Drosophila melanogaster: one gene and its partners. The gene in region 1 interacts genetically with each later gene. Each region holds a gene or a part of one and is shown on either strand. Other genes may lie near its edges. The genes, in order: ct, Nipped-B and Ssl1.

What was found.
Region 2: of ct (region 1) and Nipped-B, changing one enhances a phenotype caused by changing the other (phenotypic enhancement), as found in Drosophila melanogaster (2 studies listed by BioGRID).
Region 3: of ct (region 1) and Ssl1, changing one suppresses a phenotype caused by changing the other (phenotypic suppression), as found in Drosophila melanogaster (one study listed by BioGRID).

The regions. Positions count from the first base shown.
Region 1 is NC_004354.4:7,607,102-7,610,856, reverse strand, and holds the start of ct (cut), read right to left. Parts: upstream 1,710-3,755; 5' UTR 1,442-1,709; coding exon 1,319-1,441; intron 1-1,318. UniProt on the Drosophila melanogaster protein: Regulator of cell fate decisions in multiple lineages. Specifically, functions as a determination factor that specifies sensory organ identity in precursor cells. Probably also involved in cell type specification of Malpighian tubules.
Region 2 is NT_033778.4:4,727,356-4,731,110, forward strand, and holds the start of Nipped-B (Nipped-B), read right to left. Parts: upstream 1,663-3,755; 5' UTR 1,424-1,662; intron 1,197-1,423; 5' UTR 1,145-1,196; coding exon 1,078-1,144; intron 997-1,077; coding exon 825-996; intron 770-824; coding exon 654-769; intron 599-653; coding exon 439-598; intron 380-438; coding exon 1-379. UniProt on the Drosophila melanogaster protein: Plays a structural role in chromatin. Involved in sister chromatid cohesion, probably via an interaction with the cohesin complex.
Region 3 is NT_037436.4:22,876,970-22,880,724, forward strand, and holds the start of Ssl1 (suppressor of stem-loop mutation), read left to right. Parts: upstream 1-2,119; 5' UTR 2,120-2,179; intron 2,180-2,236; 5' UTR 2,237-2,396; coding exon 2,397-2,461; exon of another isoform or gene 2,462-2,514; coding exon 2,515-2,856; exon of another isoform or gene 2,857-2,908; coding exon 2,909-3,755. Other genes in the region: Chro (chromator), read right to left, coding at 1-419, 481-906, 968-1,025.

The DNA of each region.
Region 1 (3,755 bases):
GGAGCGGGAAAAAACGCCATTCACCGACGGCAAATGTCTAGATTTTCCGGGAATTTTTCCATGTCTGTCTTTCACTGTGCGCGTCTCTCGCTTTTCACGATCAATCGAAGAAGAAACTCCAATTAAAAAATTTGCCCGGCTGTCGACGCAACCTAATTAACTTGCCAAACCATATAGAGAGTATTTTTATATATAGAAATATTCAAAAATATATACAGCAGTTGATATTTCCATGTCTGGTCTGGCAGATGATTTTCTTTTCCCCTTTTTGGCCTCTAATGTTATTTTGCCGCCTTATTTGTTCGGAGTCTGGCATTTGGCCAGCGAAATTCTCAGCATCGTCTGGCCCCCGCCTCCCGATTTTCCACGCCCCCTTTTACAGCGAAACCCCCATCTGAATTGTCTCTTCCGTCTGGCCGATCTTGTCTGGCTTTATCTTTTTCGGTTCACTGGTAGTAGAAAACAGAAAAAAAAACGCTTCAAAAAAAAAAAAAGTTATTCAAGCAATAAACTGTTCACTTATTACTTGCTTGTTGCACTTTGCATTTGTTGTTTTTGTTTTGTGCAAACAAATTTTTTTTCAGAAATCAATAATAGCAGAAAAAATAAATAAATTTACAACAAGAAATTAGACAACAATAACGGGCCAGCAACAATAAAAACACATTTGCCATAGACACGCAAACTCAATTAGTTAACTTAAGTTAAGTTAAGCAGTTTGCGGGGCCAAAATATGGGGGCTGTGTGGGGTTAAAGTGGGCGGCTGGGCGCACTAGGGTTATTGTTGTCAGCTGTGGGAGTTTCCAGTGAAATGCAACGAATATCACAGAACTCGGGAACTATTCACTGTTTAGTTACAATGATAATTGCAAATTTGTATATGACTTTTTAGTCTAATCAATGTATGGAAAGTTCTAATTTTAGCTTATAACGTTTTAAAGGCTTTCGGGCTTTTCGCGTTACGCTCCCTAAACTTTTCACTTTGAATACACAATACTGTATGAATCGAATTCATTTCATTCATATAAAGTTAGAAAACGCAAGTATCAAATTTTATGCTACATATAACAGGTGTAATTTCATCTTTTTGTTGACAAAAATAAGATACACCTTGCATGTAATATAAACGTAAGACTGTTTGTCAATGCGAATAAAAGTGAGAACAGAAGATAAAACACTTTTGCACCGAACATTTTACGAACCCGTAATCTCAGCTTGTTTGGCCAATTCATTGAACTATATTCATATTATTATTCTTGAAACACGAAACTTCTTGCTTTTAAGCACCGTTTTCCATCGTTTTGCTAACTTTTCTTACCTGTTGCCAAAACTGTGCCAATAAATAAATTTGCTCCTTTTTGAAAAACCAATCGTTGATTGATTGAACAGCCGTCAGATCCATATCGGCTGTCCCAGCGGCTTGTGGCAATGTTGGCTGCATTCGTGGGCTTTCTTGGGTTAATTCAATAATTCTCAGTCAGTTTTTGCTTAGGTTTTTTTGGGGTTTTCAGTTTTTGGATTCTACCAATTTGGGGCTAATAAGGCCTGGCATTATTCTGTTCTGTTGTCGTTTCGATTTTACTTGTTAGTTAGTTGTTATTTAATTCGGTTTTCGTTTTTAGTCATCACATTTACACCTTAAGTAGTATGTTTCTTGTTACGTGCTCAAAAAAATGCATAAATAAGCCAATTTCTGTGTGTTATTATTATTATTATTATGGTTATGTTATGTTTTATATTTTGTTCACTTTAGTTCCGAAAAAGAATTTTTTTTGATTTTTTTGGAAGGGGGTTTCTTCTTGTTGTTGTGTGGGGGATTTTGTTGTAGTCGTTTGTTGAATGGTGAGGGTATGATGTTGTTGTTTTGGTTGTTGCCTGTTGTTGTTGTGTGTGTGATTTTTTCAAGCCATTATCATTATGTTGTTGCTTTTTGGCTGTGGCTTATTTTGCACATGTTTGCTGTCGCTGTTGTTGCTTTTGATGTTGCTGTTGTTGTTTACACTTGACACTCATACACGCGCACATATTTTAGCGAACAAAAATGCACTTGAAAAAAATAATAAACAGTTATATTATACGTTCGTTTAGTCCTTTTTGATTTGTTTGGCTGTGTGCTGTTTTGTTTATAAATATGATCAATACGTTTCTTCTTCTTGGCAAGCGAGATTCATTCTTTTGCAATTATTTTTTTATGAATTTTTTGTATGAAGTGGGTGGGGGGATTCTTCTGCACACACACACACACGACGTACACACACAGTGAGAGAGAGGGGCACACACGCACACACACCCGCGCCGCGGCTAAGAAGAAGAAGCTGCACTGCCTTGTGGGGCAGTAGAATCCAAAAATCTTCTGAAATTCTCGATTTCTTTCGGCGACGGACGAACGAAACGACGTTGCCAGTCACGAATGCTGTTGATGACTGAACAAATCGAACGTTAACGAAGCGCCGACAACCCTCTGCCGCAGAGAGCGCCGACAGCGGCGTTGGCAGCGACAGAGGCGCCACAAACACACAACACACTCATGCAGCGCAACTCTCTCGCTCGCTCTCTCACGCTCCGCGCAAGAGAATCTCACTCAATTCCCGTGCACTGCTTTTGATTTCTTTCAATAGCTTTTTGATTTTCTCACTTTTTTTGCGCTTTCCTTCTCGGCTTTTTTTTTTACTCTTATTTTTGAGCATTTTTCTGCGCCGTCGCATGTCAGTTGCATGTATTGAAATTCATTCATTCACAGACACTTTGGCTAGTGCCCTCCCGCTCGCACATCGCTTTTCTTATTGGAAACGAAAGAGCCAGGCGCTCGCCTCTCTCCACTACTGCTTGTTGTTGTTGCTTATTGAGCGCAGGATTGAGTGCAACGTCGACTGTGACGCTGGCGGAGGGATTGAGATTGAGGATATTTCGGAAAGTTGTAATATTTTTTGGCTTTAGGGGGATTTACCTGGAATTCAAGTATTATTCTGAAACTGATAAGTTTTAAAGTTAAGAACTAAAGAACTAAAAGTTCCACGAGATAAGTCTTAGAATTAAAAGCAGCTGCTATATTCATCAAATGTTCGAACATAGTAAACAATAGTAGAAAGTGATGGAAATAAAAAAGTAAATACGAAGTGTAAATTAAGCTAAATGCAACAAACAATTCTATGTTTTGTTGTTTAATTTAATTTTTATGTTTTTTTTTAGAGGTAAATGTAACATTTAGAAACAATCTGTCCTTTCCAAATTTCCGCCACTTTATGATGCACCTTAAATTGCATTCCTAACTTAAGTCCCTTGGCTGGCTGTCTCTGTTCGGCTCTTCAAAAATCCATGGAATATTAAATTGGAGAGTAAGCCCCTTCTCAGCCTCCCGTTATTTTGTGTTTTTCCGCAAACCCCTGGAATTTGCAGTCCCGTTGCGGGATTTTCGCATAAAGAAAAGTTCAAATTGTATCGAAGCGCCAAGTGCAATGCAGACGCCCCCGACCCCCTTGGTATTCTCACTCCCTATTTTTCTACTAAACCCCATGATTTCTGCTGGGCGGGGAGGGGCGATGTGGTTGGGATTTTCCAAGGGGTTATGGCTTACACCTAAACTGAGACTGAGAACCCAAGTCGCAGTCGCAGATGCGTTGCTGCAGTCTGAGAGGAAAATCGGTTGAAAAGCGGTTAGGATTTGGGTGGAAAATTGTTGGTAAATGGGGTGTACGGGGAATATTGGGGGCTTGGATCTGCTCGGGGACTTCGTCGTCGGCTTGCAAAATAACGAA
Region 2 (3,755 bases), on another chromosome or scaffold:
AGTTGGTTCTGATTCAGTGAAAGGTGGACTTTGTACATATAACATGTTTGGGATATTTACAGAATTTAAATTAAAATTTGACGGCTCTTGGGGAAAAGTATCAGAAATATTTTGAATTTGACCAACATTTGTTGATACTTGGTTTAAATCATGTTTTAAATTATAATTGGCTTCTTGTTGCTGAATAAAAAACTGTTCTTGTATTGATTGCACCGTACTTCTTTCTGGTGTGTTAGACTTTTTTTTTAGAGTATTTTGTGAAAGTATCTTAGTCACATTTAAATCTGAATTTTCAATAACGTCAATTTTATCTTTTTCTGTTGCATTTTCCTTAAAATTTATTTGTGAAAATTCTTCTAAGATTTCTTTTGAGGTCATACTAAAACAGAAAAATGCATTAAATATAAGGCTTGTAGAATAATAAAATATATACGCCACCTAGTAAGCTGATTGAAGCAGGCTTGAGCGTCTTGCAATTGATGTTCATTTGAAATCGACAAATTTGTTGGTGATGCATAACATTCCGGTATTGAATAGGAATCAATTTGCATTTTCTTTGCCTCTAATCGAGCATTAGCAGTATGTTGGTCCGGAGAGTCTGTGGATGAAATTCATGTAATACACAAATGGTTGCTTTTATTATTAAAACATACGTATTTTTATGGAAGTGTTAAAAACCGCTGGGCGAAAATGATATATTCCCTGGAGAAGCTCAGGATAAGTACTACAGTTAGTTGCTGTGTCTTGAACTGGGCAATGTATTAACTCTCTAAAATACAAGTTATTTTAATAAAGCAAAACATACAATCAATTAAACAACTAACATATTATCGGAGTTTGTTCTCTCAATGGCAGTTACCAATTGTCGAACTAGATTTTCGTTTCGCATAGAAAGTAAATTGCTAGACTCGTTAGCTACCAAAGCATGGAACAATAAAGATTTATTTAAGGACGCAGCACTCTGGAGCGAATCCGCCACTGGTAGCTCGCTTAGCACTTGCATTTAAACGAGAAAAATATTAAAAGTTTTTAAACTTGTACATACACATTATATTTTCTTGCACAGAAAATACTTACAATCAGAAGTGCTGGTTAAACCAGCTAATGTTGTTACAGGTACGGTTGGGTTGTCACGTTCCCCCATATTAAATGTAAGGATAATCCGATAGATTACAACACAACTTTGATTCTAGGAGCTAAAAAAAATAAATCTATTATTCATTACGCTACAACCAAACATTATTTCATCAACATGATAAACAATGTAATTGGAAACAATGTTTATATGAATATATTAAAATATATGGATGTTGTCCAGCTGTATTATAAGTCACTTTATGTACTATCTTATCTTTTTAGTTTATAAATTAAAAATCTATTAGATAAATCCCTTTAAATTGATTTATAATAAACAACTACTTACGTAGTTAAAAAAATTGCGGTAGCATTACCATTTACCGTTATGTTATTGCGATCAACAATTATTAACGAATTGCCACAGTTCAATATAAACGAATTACTCCGGTTCTCCTTTGCGTTTTAATTAAATACCAACTTATACATTTACAATAATAAGTACTTGTAATTTTTTAGTTTGCGAAATAGTGTTTGAAGAATATGGCCGACCTGTAGGATAGTGTGGCCGCGCTAAACTTAATAAAAAAATACCTTTTCAGACCGAAACGTTAATACTTCATATATAATACTCCTTTCCAGACTATGTAGTTACACACCAACTCAATAAAACGTAGAGAGCTTGGATGTTTGAAAGATATTTCTAAAAGAAAAATGTTTTATTGCAATTTAGGGCATTACCGACTTGAAGCTACTTCTCCTGTCCCGATACTTATTTCAATAAATGTTAACAGTGAAAACGAGTCGATAAAAAGGTCTTCATTAGGAAATGCCGTTCAAAACGGCAAAACAACCGATATCGCATAATCTCTTTTTCCATATGAAATGCGTATGCTTACAAGATATGAATATTCAAGGATGTGCAATTGTATGCGAATAAATCGATTTTGTTTTAGTTCATTTCTTCCAGATCATGGATCTTGGGAAAACAAATTATTGATATATGATATATGATTACCTTACCTTTTTGTGCAATTATACGTAAAATTATTTTCTACAGGCTTAAAACAAATTTGCGTCTTGGTAAAGTCAATTGTCCTTCTCATACATGAGAAATATTTTGTGAATTAATAATTCAACGATTGAAGAACAATTGGCAATAAATGTGGAGCTCGTAGCCGGTACCTGCAGAGCTCGATCAATCGAATTATAGTCGAAAAGCGCCACATAGCGTCGTTTTATTGAGCATGTTTGCTCACTTACTAAAAACTTACCTTACATTGAGTGTGCGAGAGTGTGAAAAAAATTGGCCTAAAAAAATTGCTTACAAAGCGCGCACATACCGGTTCACAAAGGGAGACTAAATGAGTCGGTAGGCGGATTCGGCGGAGGTGGGCACCCAATTTACGGCCACCAAATATAAATGCATAATCAGCCTTTCCACGCTTACCAAAGGCTTAGGGCATACTCAACGTATATATCGTATATGCATACGTATTCTTTTTCTCTCCCCTGCTGCAAAACAGCAATACTGTGAGGGGTCTTAAAACTCACAATAAGTCCAGGAGAACAGAGCAGAAAGCAGTAATGCGGGAGGAGTCAGGTCAAACGCTGAAGATTGGACCTTGGACCCCGGTAAAGCGGAGAGACCGGCCAAGGGCACAGAGGTCGAACGGTAAAGGTGTTTACTGGACACGTGGACCTTGGACTCTAGCGAGCCGTGCGTAACGGGAAAATAAAACAGCCTATAGACGGCAGCAGCGCCTCTGGACCAGGCAGCTAAAGCATGTAGTGAGTAATAAGTGCACGAGGGTAGTCGAGCAGTGTATGGGCGGGAGTCTCAAAGTCAGGACGCGGACGCGTGGGTCCGTCAAGTGAAAACACAATTCAGGAGCAAAGTTCAGTGTGGGAACAGAAATTTTCTTAAACTAGACCCAGTTGGTATTATTGTTTGTAATAGAGCTGGAAAACCATCGATGGAACTATCGATACTATCGATGGTTTTAAGTATCGGTGTGAGATTTCTTCCGCAAAATCACCCGCAAAATGACATTCGGTGCGAATCGTGGCGACCCTTTCGCATCGATCCGTCCAGGGCGCGTTTAGCTTTCTCGGCATTGGGATGATAGTCGACCTTTAGGAATTTAAAGTTCTTATCCAGGTTCGAGAAGATCTCGCTAATCGTATGGCTCGTATGGCTTGAACGTCTCGCGTAGCTCAGCGTCGGTGATGTCATTGGTCAGGTTGCCCACATAGAGACGATTTCGATGGGAGAACTTCGTCTCCGTGGGCACTTCCACTGTTTCCAGTTCAAAGGTGGGCCCAGAAATCCTGCGAAACCGATGTTAAATGATGAAGTCTTCACAGCCGCGCGGACCACCATCTCCATCGCTACCACCACCCATATTGGTGCTGTTCATCGTGCCACCTGCACCTCCGCCAGGGCGTGGACCACGCTACTACCGACTACGGTTTCGGTTGTCTGCTGGTTCTGCGGGCTTCCGGAGAAACCGCCACCTTGATTGTTACCAGCATTGCGACCTCTGAATCCTTGACCACTTCCCTGAATTCCGGCTCCTCCTTGATTTCCTTGGCCTCCTTTATTGCCTGCTCCTCCTTGATTTCCTAATCCTCCTTGATTTCCTTGACCATGGACTTGATTTTGATTTTGGTTTTGTCCT
Region 3 (3,755 bases), on another chromosome or scaffold:
ATCTGACTTTGCGTTTGTCCCTGATGACTGCATGCGCTTCAGAGCATCCAGACCCTTCTCCCTAGTAAGTTTTTGGCGTGCCAATTGCTTTTCGAACATCTGCAAAAAGTATGGCACACGCTCGAGATTGGCCATCACCTCCCAGGTGTTTTCATGATGCGAGCGATCAACCCACTTAACCAAATACTCGTGGGTCTTACGGCGCGGATTGAAGCGCTTAGCGACAATCTTTTCCACTGGCTCTTCGGTGCGCTGATCTGTCTTGGAATCGATCCTAATGGCTATGCGGTTGTTCGGCTTCACGGCTCCGGCAGAGGGAACTGAGGAAGGCGTTGGTGTACTCGGCTTGGACTTGGGTCTTTCGTTTTCTGTATCCTTTAGTTGATTGGCTAACGTAGGCAGCTTACCGGTTGGTGATTCTGTTGATTTAAATATAGTTTAATAACAAGTGTGACTTTTATTTAGAATGTTTTGTATTACTTCTGGTAGGGGAGACGCTCGTGTTGTTGTTGTTGCTATTTGATGTGTTGTTATTGTTTGGATTGACCACAGTCTTTGTTATTCGCACAGGCATGTCCTGGAGTTGTCCGTGTGCAATTTTGCCGAATGACTGTATGGTCTTCCCAGCCACAATCCACGGCTCGCGGACGCTATCGTCTAGTTTTACCCAATGCTGGTACAAGGCCCACGAGCTGCCGGACGCGTCCTTGCGCGAGTGCAGCTGAGTAGCTTTCCATAGCGTAAAAGCCCAGATGGTGGGCTTGGGATCGAGCGATTCCTTCAAATTTGCATTTTCCTTTTCGCAGGCGTCCTCTTTGTGGGCCTGAAACTCTTCCACGAAGTTGTAGGCCCGGAGACATCGTCCACATACAAGAACGTCCATGTTTGCCAATTCCTCCTGTGCAGCTGCAGGGCAGAACACAAAATTAACAATAAAAATTATTTACCAATGTTTTTAGTCACTCACCTCTTATAATGTTTGCGTGTTTGCCGATTTCCGTAGGTGAAATCTCCTGTGCCAACATTATTCACGACTCCAGCGCCCAAGCCTTTGAAGAGAGCATTTAAAGTGTGACTTAAAAATAGTGCTGAATGGAGTCTTATTATTTGTTATTGCTTGGTTTTGAAATATTGGTAAACGGCGAAGAAAAAGTACAGTGCCGTGGTGTGTTTGTGCTAACTTGAACCAGGTGGCAACGCGAACGGTCGCTGTCTGCGGTGTGTGTCCGATATGGTGAGTTCAAGCATATGTACATCTGCAATGGGCAAAATGCAGCGGCGCTTAGGCAGCCGAAAAAAAACACTAAGTACATTATGAAAAGAACGAGCCTGCCGCACTGTTGTAGATATATAATATAATAAAACACAGAAAAGCACGAACTATGCGTAATGCGACTTTATTAGTTACTTAAACTTATCTGTTACAAATGCATTTGAACTTCAACACAGCTAAAAATTAAAATAAATAAAACCCTATGGTTCGATCCTATTTGTTTTCATTTAAAAAAAAGGATTACATATAGTTTAAATAATATCAAAGTTCACAATTTCATTTTGCCCGCTAAACCTTGCAGGCACTAGATATAGGCCAGGTATGATTGCAAATAAGCCTATTCCACATATCATTAAATTAAAAGATTTCTCTAGAACACTTTGGTACACACCTTCATAAACAATTTTGGATAAATATCAAACTGAATGTTGTTTCAAACGGTTATTTTAATTTAACTGACTCCCGATTTTTCAACACGAGCAGCTCCACTGCTGCTCACAGTTGTACGCGCGAACTCTGAATGCCAAAAGCGAAATTCGGCTGCACGGAAATTGTCCAGAGATGATTTGGTTCCGGCTGTGCGGACCTTAGAATGCTCTTCTGTGCTAAGCTATTTAAATCCTAATATTACTGGGAGTGTATTGCCTGTCGATAGCTTTAAACTAACTGCAGTCCAGTAAATTTTAAGATTTCGAAGGTTTTTTCGAATATAGTATATGATATAAAACGCGGGTTTCAATGCTTGCACGGTTTTAAGTGCCCAAACTTAGGGTGTAGCGCCCTTTTCAGTTCGCCCGTGTGGCGGTGCACTTAGTTAGCCAATTACGCGTCGTGGTGGGTATATTTATTGATGTGGCAACTTTGGGCGCAATAATAATAATATTGTACTTTTTTTGTTCATATTAGGTAAGAAATTCGAAATTATTTTTTATTATTTCATTTTATTATGTCATTCTTTTGTAGATATTTATTGATATAAATACTTACCCAGGGTTGCCACCCAGTGTATTGTATTTAACGTAGGCCCTGTGTGTACACACTGTTACATTAGCCGGCGCATTTTATTTAGCGTTAATTGCTTTTCTTTCTTGATTTGACTTGGTAGTGCATCAGGACTGCAAGTATGGCCGACGATGAGCAAGAGGACCAGAAGGAGTACCGCTGGGAAACGGGCTATGAAAAGACATGGTGCGATGGTGTGCGTGACAATGTAAGCCCGCACTTACTTTTAATCCTATTAGGGAGGCCATCAAGGACGACGAGGATGGGATGCTGGATGGAGCCATTGCAGAGATCATTCAGAAGGCCAAACGCCAGAGGCAGGCTCAAAAGTCCAAGCAGAACCGCCTGGGCATGATGCGCCACATGTTCGTTGTGCTCGATTGCTCTGAGTCCATGAGCGTGCCTGATTTGAAACCCACACGACTGCGGTGCACCGTCAAGCTGCTGGAGCTGTTTATCGAGGAGTTCTTCGATCAGAACCCCATCAGCCAATTAGGACTCATAGCGCTAAAAGCTAAGCGAGCGGAGAAGGTGACCGAACTTACCGGCACTTCGCGCGTGCACCTCAAAGCGCTAGAGAGGTAAGAACCGAATCAAACCAGCGTTCTCCATTTATATCCCCTTTTTGTTTAGCTTGGCTAACGTGTCCTTGACCAGCGAGCCTTCGCTGCAAAATGGCCTAGATCTGGCCCTAAAATCGCTTAAGGTGGTGCCGTCGCACGCCTCCCGAGAGATCGTCATTATCATGGGCTCGCTCACCACATGTGATCCTGTCGATATTAACCTCACCATCGACGAGTTAAAAAAGGAGGGCATACGCTGCTCGGTTATTTCCCTGTCCGCTGAGATTCACGTGGCCCGCTACCTCACTCAGCAAACAATGGGCACCTTCGGGGCTGTTTTGGATGATGCACATTTTCGGGATCAACTCATGTCTCAGGTAGATCCACCGCCCGCCGCTAAGACTCAGCACAACTCGCTTATTCGCATGGGCTTCCCGCACACAAAGAATGAAGTTGAGGGCAAGGACGCGCCATTGTCCATGTGCATGTGCCACATAGAGAACTTGGAGGAGCCCAGTGAACTGACCACTACTGGCCACCACTGCCCGCAATGCAACAGCAAGTACTGCGAGCTGCCCGTGGAGTGCCAGTCTTGCGGCCTCACCCTGGTCTCCGCGCCGCACTTGGCGCGTTCCTACCACCACCTTTTCCCGGTGCCAAATTTTGAGGAACTGCCGTTTGAGGCGATGCCTGCTTCGTCATCCGACCTCACCAGCGATGTCAGGGAATGTTACGGCTGCGCCAAAGCTCTTGGGCAAGGCGTTGACAAGGTCGCCGATAAAGTCGTCTTCAGATGCGGTTTCTGCAAGCAGTTCTTCTGCGTTGACTGCGACATCTTCATTCACGACACATTGCACGCCTGCGTGGGATGCAACACCATTCCCGGCGTAGACGGTCTGGTTTACCAGCAAAGTTCC